3 linked regions of the Mus musculus genome follow. The protein of the gene in region 3 purifies or fractionates together with the protein of the main gene of each other region. This does not show direct contact. Links are inferred from orthologs where the notes say so. Each region holds a gene or a part of one and is shown on either strand. Other genes may lie near its edges.

Evidence for each region.
Region 1: the proteins of Elavl1 (region 3) and Igf2bp1 purify together in Homo sapiens (co-immunoprecipitation; 3 studies listed by BioGRID and IntAct, with this or other methods). This does not show direct contact. The link is inferred for Mus musculus from reciprocal best matches to the Homo sapiens genes ELAVL1 and IGF2BP1.
Region 2: the proteins of Elavl1 (region 3) and Trim21 purify together in Homo sapiens (affinity purification with western blotting; 3 studies listed by BioGRID, with this or other methods). This does not show direct contact. The link is inferred for Mus musculus from reciprocal best matches to the Homo sapiens genes ELAVL1 and TRIM21.

The regions. Positions count from the first base shown.
Region 1 is NC_000077.6:95,967,659-95,971,643, forward strand, and holds part of Igf2bp1 (insulin-like growth factor 2 mRNA-binding protein 1), read right to left. Parts: intron 3,134-3,985; coding exon 3,011-3,133; intron 2,327-3,010; coding exon 2,191-2,326; intron 1,264-2,190; coding exon 1,141-1,263; intron 825-1,140; coding exon 705-824; intron 1-704. UniProt on the Homo sapiens protein: RNA-binding factor that recruits target transcripts to cytoplasmic protein-RNA complexes (mRNPs). This transcript 'caging' into mRNPs allows mRNA transport and transient storage.
Region 2 is NC_000073.6:102,559,666-102,562,681, forward strand, and holds part of Trim21 (E3 ubiquitin-protein ligase TRIM21), read right to left. Parts: intron 2,354-3,016; coding exon 2,123-2,353; intron 951-2,122; coding exon 928-950; intron 404-927; coding exon 303-403; intron 1-302. UniProt on the Homo sapiens protein: E3 ubiquitin-protein ligase whose activity is dependent on E2 enzymes, UBE2D1, UBE2D2, UBE2E1 and UBE2E2.
Region 3 is NC_000074.6:4,304,462-4,308,446, forward strand, and holds part of Elavl1 (ELAV-like protein 1), read right to left. Parts: intron 570-3,985; coding exon 466-569; intron 1-465. UniProt on the Homo sapiens protein: RNA-binding protein that binds to the 3'-UTR region of mRNAs and increases their stability.

The DNA.
Region 1 (3,985 bases), on a different chromosome or scaffold from region 3:
GGGAAGATGAAGGCATCTCCAGCCCCTCTAGTTCCCTCCCAGTGCACGCTCTGAGAAGGGAAGAACAGAGAGCCCCAAGCCCAAGTTCCTGACTGTACACAAGAACTGTGATGATGGCATGGGCAGCATGCGAGGAGGACCTGCCTCAGTGACCTGCACACAGTAGGACTGCATCGCAACACCAAACCCACCTGGGGGTTTTAGCAGATGAGTGCTGGCAAGAGGCAGGGAATTACGAGATGACTGACTGGGTAGAGCATGCAGAGGCTACAGCTCTCTTGGGGTTGGGAGGAAATCACAAAGCTTTAAACACCATTGAAAGAAACCTGTGAGGTTAACAGCACTGGCTTCCTTGCTCTCTGGGATCCTGGATCCAGGATGGTTAAAAGACAACCAGCACAGGCAGTGTTCACTGTGAGGCACCACCTGCTTCCTGGCCTCCCACACAAGGACACTGACAGACTTGCCACACCAGGCAGTGTGACACTGAGACTCGGCAGCAGGCGATAAGGATGGGGTTGGGAGGAGGTCTATTGTGGCAGAATCTCACTCAGCCTGCTGTGTGTTAGTCCTGCTACCTGTCCAGCCTGGAAACCTAGAAGCACTGAAGACACCCGCAAGGGACTGGGCTTTTCACTCCCAGTGTGACGTGTGAAGGGGGCTGGAGTTGATACTAGACCTAGGAGAACTCAAGAACAAATCACCTTGATGGAGGCGCTGGCGAAGCGGGAGAGTTGTTTGATGTGCTGGCCCTTCTTGCCAATGATGGCGCCCACAGCCTGGGCGGGGATGAACACTTGTACCATCTCCTGCTCCGGAGCCTGCTGCCAGAACAGGGGACTCCTTACCAAAGGCCCAGGGAAGGGGGCGAGGCAGGACCCAGGAGCCCCTCCACTGGGCTGCCATACAGCCTCCAAAAGTAACAGGTGCAGATACCTAGCTGCGCCCTGGGCTATAGGAGGACGCCATGAACTCTTTTTCTCTCCCTTCCAACTAAAGGGAGCTAAAACCAAGTGGAAAGCTGCTGCCGACGCCTCAGCTGGGCTCTTCTCCTTGTAGCTGGCATTCTGGCTGCAGAGGCCTCTCTTCCCTCCCTCTTGCCAATGTCCCAAGCCCTGGGTAACAAGACCTTCCACCTACCATGAAGGAGCTATAGGGAGCAGCCCCGGTGACACTGCTGGGAGGAGGAGGGACAGCGCTGGATGAAGCTGGGAAGAGACCTACAGCAGCCAGGTTAAGCCCAGGGATGAGGTGGGACTGCAACTGCGGAGAGAGGCGAGGCACAGGTCAGCCTGCTGACAGAACCCTAGCATGCGGCTCTGGCAGGATTTCTAGGTCTTGCTGTCTGTCACCCACCAAACTCCAGGCTTGGTAAAAGCCATGTCTATATGAAATAAGAAGATGACCCCTAATGTCCCCCTCAAGCTGCTACATATGCACGCCTAACCACCCACCCACACGCCGAACTACCCACACAGACACATTAAAAAAACGGAAAATCCTATGAGCAGATCGTGGTAGCACATGCCTGTAAGGCCAGCACTCGGGAAACTAAGGCAGGAGTGAATTCAGTTCTAGCCTACAGAGCAGAGCGCAGGACTGTCTCAGAAAAAAGCTGAAGTTGGGATCCTTCATCTCCTACAGTATACAAGCTTAACTAGATCAAATCACACAGATCACAGAGTGGTTAAAGTACAGAATCCATGAAACCCAAGACTTTGCCCCCAATCCCAACCCAGCAGCCATGTAACGAGCCCTTGTGAGTAAATACAGCTACCCACGCCAACAACAGACTGTTTACCTACAATGTACAAGACGCTAGACTTCATCCCCAGCACCACCACCTCCACAGAAACAAACTTAGATGAGTTAAGTCCAAAAGCACAAACTAAGGGGCTGGAAAGGTAGCCCACTGATCAAGGGCACTGCTATTCTTCAAGGACTTCACATGGTGGGCCACAACCATCTGTAATTTTAGTTTTGGAGAATCCAATGCCCTCTTCCAGCCTCTGGGAACCTGGGACGCACACAGTGTCCTGAGATAGATGCGAGCAAAACCCTTGCTAAGTTCAGAGAAGGCTGCAAGAGGAGCTTGGGATATAGCTCCTCCAGAGGTATCACTTTCGCCTGTCTCCAAGGCCTAGACTCAACTCCCAACAACACACGCAGACGGTGCCGCCTCGCACTCACGCTCATGGCGGCCACGTCGTTCTCGTAAGCCTCTCGAACTTTCTTCATGATCTCCTGCTCGGCCCTGCAACAGTTCTCAATGGCGCCCTTCACAGTGATGGTCCTCTCAGGGTTATAGAGCGTGAGGTCCTGGAGCCTGGCAAGAGAGCAAGACAACGTCAAGCAGTGGGCAGCACAGGGCGGGAGCCAGACCCCAGCTAGGGGCAGAGCCGGAGACAACTGAGTTACTGGTCCAGCAGTTCTAAAGGACGTCTAACTTCCGGCAGGGAAGCCCTATCTCCAGGCTTCAGGTAACCAGGGCAAGGAAACTAAGCATACTCACAACAACTCCGTCTGTGGGAACACAGGCTATCATGAAAGGCTGTGGTCAGCAGACACACAGAGGCTGCAGGCAGAACTTGATGTGCTACTGTGCAATAGTTACTCTGCAACAGCTCTAAGGAATGGAGAGGCAGGCTGCTTACAGGCAGCTAACCCACTCCTGTCACTGCTCTTCAGAGGCAGCCCTGTGTGCCACAGCTGAAAAGAACCAAGGTTTGTACACCTTGTACAATGGCAGACACACCTAAAGGCCAGACCTTCGCTGCAGGCTTTCGTGGGGATGCGTGTGTCTAGAATGTTGTACCAAGGGCAGGTATTAGGGTGCTCCAGCCCTCATTGAGCAGGACAAAATGTTCTCCTCACGTCTCCGATTTGATTGTCCCAAGAGGGAGGTGCTAAGGCCCAGTGGCAGGTCCCTCATCCCCAGCCTGAGCTCGGCACTGCTGTGACCCCAGCCTGAGCTCGGCACTGCTGTGGAGGGAATCACGGAGAAACTCACGATGAGATGGTGATCTTCGTCTCTGTGTCCTGCTCCACCTTCTTCAGGTTCCGCCCTTCCTTGCCAATGAGTCGCCCGACGAAGTTGTTATGAGCCAGGATCTTCAGGGGAACTTCATCTGCCCTGGAAAGGAAGTAGGGGACAGCTCGGTCAATGATGTCAACAAAGGTTACCCAACTATGTGATGAACCCAGAAAAAACCCTGAGCCAAGTGTCAGGATACAAGCCCAGCAGAGATCGGTGTTCTGTAAACAGAAATGGCGGATGAGGATGGCAGGGTGACATTTGGGAGCCACAGCATTATCTCAACTGTGATCACGGTCAGCAGGTACATTATCAACACATACAAATCGAAATCCATACAACTACACACTCAAAATATATGTGCAGTTGTGTTTGAGGGTTTAGCGCAGTAGTACTGTTTAGCTTGTCCAGCATGCATGAGGCCCAGGCTCTAACCCTAAGTTGAAGGGGGTAAGGGAGCAGAAAAGACACCCAGTGTATCCTGTAGGCATCTGCCGATAGTCCCAGCTAATAAGGCTGAGGCTGGAGGATCCAGAAATTCTAGGCTAACCTAGGCAATGTCCTCAAACAAACATAGCATTGTTATACTAGTTGAACCCTAATAAACCTGTATAAAAAACAAGACAACAACAACAACAACAAAAACCAGGGGCTAGAGAGATGGCTCAGTGATTAAGAGCACTGACTGCTTTTCTAGAGGTCCTGAGTTCAATTCCCAGCAACTACATGGTGGCTCACAACCATCTGTAATAAGATCCAATGCACTCTTCTGGCGTGTCTAAGAGAGTGACAGTGTACTAATATACATAAGATAAATAAATAAATCTTAAACAAACAAAAAGCACAGAGAAACCCTGTCTCAAAAAACAAACAAGTGAAAAAGGAAACCAATGAAAACTTAGCGTGATGATGCATGAATTATCCATCAGCAGACTCAAGAGGACCATGAGT
Region 2 (3,016 bases), on a different chromosome or scaffold from region 3:
GCAGAAAGAAGATCATAAGTAAGACTGGATGCATGAGGCCAGCTGCTCTTTGCCTAGAGTGAGGAGATCCATTTAAACTCAAAGGTGAGGGGTGACCCTGAATCTCATCATGTGAGGAAATGACCCACAGTTACTCTTGCCCTTCCTCTGACATGTGAGGAAACTTCATCTATGTCTTCTGCTCCACCTGTACCACTTGCCACCTCTTCCACACATTACCACCCTGGGTTCCTCATGACTGTCCACTCCACACTCTCATTATCCCTTTCTGTCTAGCCCACAATTCCTAGATGTCGCCTTACCCCAACATGTCCTCAGCATCTTCTTCCGCCCTGGCACAGGGCATGTGCTTGTTAGGTCTGGGGCGTCAATATCTAACGTGTCCAGGTTCCAGGATCCACTCCTAGGGAAAGAGTTTGAGAATCTTACTTCCTGCTCCTATCTTCTACCTTAGGCCCCAGTGCTCTCCTTCATGGACGGCTCAATAATTAAACTCAATACCAATATACAAATACACATGCATTCAATGTCCACAGGAAAGGAAAAAAAAGTTCCTATCTAGGAGTTCCAAGTTCTAGGAATCTCAAATAAATCTCCATCTCTTTCCAGAGCCCAAAGTCATGGCCTTGTGGATTTTATTTAATTTTACAGCAAACCATCTAACAGGTGGAATGACTTCTGTGAAGAACTTGGAGGACTCTTGGCCATGCTGTCGGTTTTACTCATTACTTATGAATGTCTTTCCGTAGGAGAGTTCTAGCAGACTCAGATTACCACTTTCTGGTGGGAGACTTTTAATGTACAAAGATGATTGATATTCATCGGGCAATTCATCATTTGATATGTTCATTAGCCATTTGAAAGCAGAGAACGTCTTAGAGTGGACCAGGTTTCTATGCACACATGCTTCCTGGTCCCTTTCCTTACCTTTCCAGGATGATCCTCACCTCCTGAGGAGAGAAGAGACAGACAGTCAACTCTGGAGTTTCTGACTGACCACTGAGATGCCATTCCTGGGGCCATGTGACATCGCCCTTGGGTAAGGCCCCAAAGATAACTCTGACAAACCGTTACCAGAAATGGCATGTGATGGCTCACAGAATATCTAGGAAGCCAACGTGGTTATGGCCTTTAGCCATGACCAGGGATTTAAAGACTGACAGAGAAAGAGACTTACAAGGGCTGGGTTCTTGGAGGAGCGGGGCTGGCCATGGAGCCAGTAGAAGAGGAAGATAAACAACAGAACCCGACTGAAGCCGGGAGGTAGCTTCAGGCAGAGAATGGCTTAGGTAGATGTCCAGAGAGGTTCCCTGCTATTTTTGGGCTTGAACTGTTTGTGGAGGAATGGCTAGTTGGTTAAAAGCTTTGTCCTGTGCTGTGGCTAATCCTCTTCACTATTTAGAGTGAGTTCAAGTGAGACTATTCATTCTCAGGCAGTGACAGCCATAACATTTGAACTGGCAGCCTCCTAGGCTCCTTAAAAAGGCACCAGGAAGCTCAGTTCAGTGACAGGCAAGAGGAAGCCTGCCAAGTCAAACCAATACAATCAGTTTTTCTATACAAAGCAGAAAGAAATGTCTGTATGCATCTGACTGAGACAGTGACACAGGTATGAGAAAAGAAACCTAGAGTGTCCCAACACCAGGCTAATATACCAAGGGTGGATGCAATGGATGCAACTTTAGAGTATGAACTGACTCTAAAACACAATCTGTCATCTTAATTTCTGCCTCTTACTACTTAGATAAACTGATGTAAGTTAACGGGAATCTCCCACTAATTCCATTAACATTTTCTCTTCCATGGAGTGAGATTGCAGCGGTACTAACCTGAGCCTGGCAGGCCACTAGTGTGCCCTTTAGGAACCTGAGCTATCATCATTATGGGAAAAATTAGAAAAAAGAATAGTAGTACGAATACATGATTATTTTAGTTCCTATGCTTCGGAAAAAAATTATTTTAAGTTTATTTTGGGAAAAGAGTGAGACTACCTGCAGAACGAGAGCACATTAAAGATAATGTAGGTAGTTTACAGAAACACAACAAGCACATTTTTTAAGAGCCGTTCCATATAGCGCAGGCTTTTCCCAAGGTACTCCTTGTGCCTGCGCAGGGGTCGCACCTGCAGTAGCTCCAGCTCTGAACCACGAATCCTCCTCTCCAGCTCTGAGATCAGCTCCTGCAGGGCCTGGTTCTTCTCAGCCAGCTCAGCCTCCTTCTTCCCCAGGAGTCTCAGGTACTCCCTTTGATCCTTCTCCAGCCTCTGCAGCTGCCTCTGCTCCTCCTGAGCCAGCAAGCTATTCTGAAGTGCGAACTCTGCGTGAATCCTCGACTTCTGGGTGTCAATGTTCCTCTGTGGTGGCAAGGGGAAGACAAGAGGTTTTCTTTTTTCTTTTTATTAGATATTTTCTTAATTTACTTTTCAATTGTTATCCCCCCTTTCTGGTTTCCCCTCCAAAAACCCCTCATCCTATCCCCCCTCCCCCTGATCACCAACCCACCCACTCCTGCTTCCTGACCCTGTCATTCCCCTAGATCGGGGCATAGTGCCTTCACAGGACCAAGGGCCTCTCCTCTCATTGATATCCAACAAGGCCATCCTCTGCTACATATGCTGCTGGAGCCATGGGTACTTTTTGGTTGGTGGTTTAGTCCCTGGGAGCTCTGGGTGTATTGGTTTGTTCATATTGTTGTTCTTCCTATGGGGCTGCAAACCCCTTCAACTCCTTGGGTACTTTCTCTAGCTCCTTCATTGGGGACCATCAAGAGTTTTCCCATAAAAATTTCCTAAGCTTGGGTGGTGTCTGTCCCCTAGACCCCCCCCCCCCCCACCTACGCATGCTTCCGGCACCAGATATTTTCTCAACCTTTCTTCCAAAAGCTACTAACGCCCATGTGAGTTCCTCTGTCTTACTATCTCAGCAAGTTGTAGAGCATAAGACCTGTTCCCATACCCATTGATACCCTGGGTGGAAAGCAGTGGTCCCAGGAAAACAGTCTTTGCCATCTTGGGAGG
Region 3 (3,985 bases):
TGTTAAGTGTGAGTTGTGAGTCACGTGGCTCTAGAAGGCCTATGGATCTGCACCTGAGCCTGACTAGTCCATCTGCTCTCTGTAGCTGCCAGTCTGTCACAGAGAAGAGATAGATGGTTAGGCATAGAGATGCAGAACATGTCACTCTGCTCTCTGCAACCAGAATACAACACCAGAACCAGCGAGAACACAGCAGATAAGTTAACTATTAAGAGCTGTGATCTGTGGCTGGTTAGGATGTGCATGTAAACAAAGCCTTCAAAAAAAGTACCCAAGTGCAGGGGGCAACAAGGCAGGGACAGAAATGTACCTGGCTTCTGGGTCTCTTAAAGCATAACTGCTCTTGTTTGGCACCCCATTCATGAGTAATACACCTAGCACCTGTAGGTACTGAGTCTACAGTACTCTAATACCCCATTCTGGTCTAGTTAAGGTTTGTCCTCCAGATCAACACAGACTCTTTACCTTAATGGTTTTGGACTGGAGTCTCAAGCCGTTCAGTGTGCTGATTGCTCTCTCTGCATCTTTTGCAGTCACATAGTTCACAAAACCGTAGCCCAAGCTGTGTCCTATAAGAGAGAACATGACATTGGTAAACTAGCTTCCAATGAACAGGTGAAGGGGAGGTACATGGGCAAAGTCAGGGTAACACAGTAAAATGCCAAGGGAGGCACACTGGGAAACCACTCTTGAGATGGTGGCAAACTTTTTCTGTGCAAACTTGTATATCTATGCAACTAACAAAGGTAACCTGTAATTAAAAGTTCCTTAAAAACTGGGCCAGTGAGAAGGCTCAGACAGTTAAGTGCTTGCTGCCAAGCCTGACGACGTAGGTTCAATACCCGAGGCCCCGTGGTAGAAGAACTGCGTTAAGTTAGTCTCTGACATATGAGCTATTGTGCATGTGCATACACACAAAATAGACACCTTGTTTCTTGAAGAGGAAAAAAAAGTAATGATGTGTTACTGACTGCATCTTGTGAAACGTTGCCTAGTAATCCCAATGGTGCTGGCTGTACTATGAGGCCTGACAGAAGAGAAAGCAGTGACCAGTGGCTATATAGTCTGTTAATTTCTGAAACCTGAATTCCTAGGGAGAAGGCCTCCTAGGCTCTGGCGCCATCTAGTACTGGTTCCCTTTCTTTCCTGAGTATAGAGCAACTGGGCTCAGTGAAGCGGTGGGGAAAAGCTGAACTGAGAATATACTAAGCCTATTAAGTGGCCCTGGTCACAGGTTCACAGTCCTGGCCTAGCTCCCCCAGCTCTTCCTGGAAGCAGAGTCTACTATAATAATGTCACCAGCATAAATTTGGAATGAGAGCTGAGAGGCATAAAAATTAAGGTAGCAACAAAAGACCCCAAATACTCAAGTCAGGCAGGAACACCCACTACCTGGGTATGGACATGGCATGTAGGGTGAGGCTGAGGAAGAGCTACTGGAGTGTCAGGAAGGAGTCTTAGTGGATGTCTAGCCATGACAAACTTGACTCACATCCTCCCAGCTCATGCAGACACTTCATTCTGTTCTGGGTACTTCAGAGAGCGCCTGTAAGACAAACCCACTGGGTGTAGAGACTTTCGTGTTGAGAGTCTGCTGCAACCAAAACCCAGGAAGTCATCTCCTCTGCTGATAACAAAACCAGAACAAACTAGAAAACCTATTTTCTTTAAGTTGTATTGGCACTTTTCCAACATTTTATTTTAAAACTTGTTTTACTGTATTTGTGTGCACCCATGGCACAGAAGTATTTGGAAAATAGGCACATTTCAAGAATCAGTTTTCTCCTTCCACCATGGTAGTCCCAGCACAGAACTCAGGCTGTCATGCTTGGTGGTAGTGCTTGGTGGTAGTGCTTTCAAATGCAAGCCATTTTGTTAACTCACCTTCCTCAAATACTGCTTTTGTTTTTTCACACAGGGTTTCTCTGTGTAGTCTTGGTTATCCTGGAACTTGATCTGTAGACTAAACTGGCCTCAAGATCACAGAGATCCACCTCTTTCTGCCTCTCAAATGCTAGGAGTAAAGGCAAGAACCACCATGCCCAGCAGACGTTTTTTAATGCCAATTTTAGATTAAAAAAAAAAAGGCACTAAACAAATTACAAGTTCCAGCTTGCCCCCACCCTCCTTTATTACAAATATCTTCCATTACCATGGCATATTTTATACAGTGACAAGTACTTGTTTAATGTTAACTAAAGATTCATACTTAATTCCTATGTCTTTAGTTTTTCTCATTGATGCCTCTTTCTGCCCTAGGACCCCACACAACCTTTAGTGTCATCCCCCTAGCCCCCGATCCCAAAACTCCCCTGGGTAGTATCTCAGACCATTCTTGCTTTTAACAAAAACAAAACAAAACAAAAAACCCACTCCCCAACCGTATTTTATGTTTATAGTTATTTAGCCTGTACAAATATGTAAACTATGTATGTATAAAGCCCATGGAGGCCAGAAGACACTGTCACATTCACTGACTGTGAGCTGCCATTTGGGTCTTCTGGAAGAACAGCTAATATTCTTAACCATTGAGTCTTCTCTCTAGCCCTGTCCTTGCTTTTAATAACTTTCAGTTTGGGGGCCTGGTCTGTATCTCATGTACTGTTCCTTAATTTAGTTTGTTTTGTATTTTTCTTTTGTTTACTATGGTGATTTAAGTTTAGGGGAGGAAGGAAAAAGAGGTAAGGCTCTCATGACAGCCTTTCAAGGGCCAAGTGCATATGCTACCAACAACATATTGGCTTAGATTACCTGGCTAGGATGGTCTGTGAGGTGACCCTCTTCCACTATCACATTGTTTCGACAGATGATACTGCAAAACAAGTCCTAAATTATGTTCTTTCTCTTTGGGGCACAGAAACTACATATGTTATCTGCAATTTTTCAAAGGCTAGCCTCCCTCTCAAAGTCTTTATAGAAATCCACATTTCATTAAAAAAAAATTTGTGCCTGGCAGTGGTGGTGCATGCCTTTAATCCCAGCACTTGGGAGGCAGAGGGAGGTAGATTTCTGAGTCCAGCCTGGTCTACAGAATGAGTTCCAGGACAGCCAGGGCTACACAGAGAAACCCTGTCTTGAAAAACTCAAAAAAAAAAGTGTGTTTGTGTACACATGTACTTATGTGTGTTGAGGCCAGATTCCTTAATCACAAATCCTCCCTTTTTTAATTTAAAATGTTTATATATGGGGCTGGAGATGATTAAAGAGTACTGGCTGTTTTTCTAAAGGACCTGGGTTCAATTCCCAGCATCTATATGGCAGCTTGCAACTGAATATAACTCCAGTTCCAGGGGATCCAACACCTTTACACAGACATATATGCAGGTAAAAGAAATCACATGAAGTAAAAATTCATATTTGAATATAATGTTTTGATAAATCTCTTCTATCCCCATCTCTCCAATTACTCTCCATCCCTCCCCAGGTTGACCTGCAGCTAGCTCCCAGTTCCTAGAAGCACAAAGAGCATGGCAAATCAGAAAGCAGACACATCTTTTCGGCCATAACCACTGTATATTTGGAAATGCAAGATTCTGGTCCAAGTGTAACACAGAACACTTAACAAGGTAACATACATGTTACCTCCATGTGGAGGCTTCTCCAGTGCAGCAGCGCCACCCCCCACCCCCCACCCCCACCCCCCACCCCCCACCCCGGCATCTGGCCTCTGACCACCAGTAACATCTGGGAACTTTTTAGGAGAGTGATATTGATGCTGGGTCAGCCAGAAAACAGGTGGCAGAATTGTGTTCCTACAGCTCCTCCTAAAAGAGGGAGGGGGTACAACCAGCATCCAGGAGAGGTCTCAGACCTTAGAGCCATGATTTGTTCAATCTTTATTCTTTGTATCTATTACCATTTCTGATTTCTTTTTTCCCTCTTGTCAAACTATTATCCCATCTGCAGAGCCCTGGCCACCTGAACCTGACTCTAGGCAGATCTCAATACCCAAATTCCTAGCAGACAATGTAGAAGCTGTGTTTGT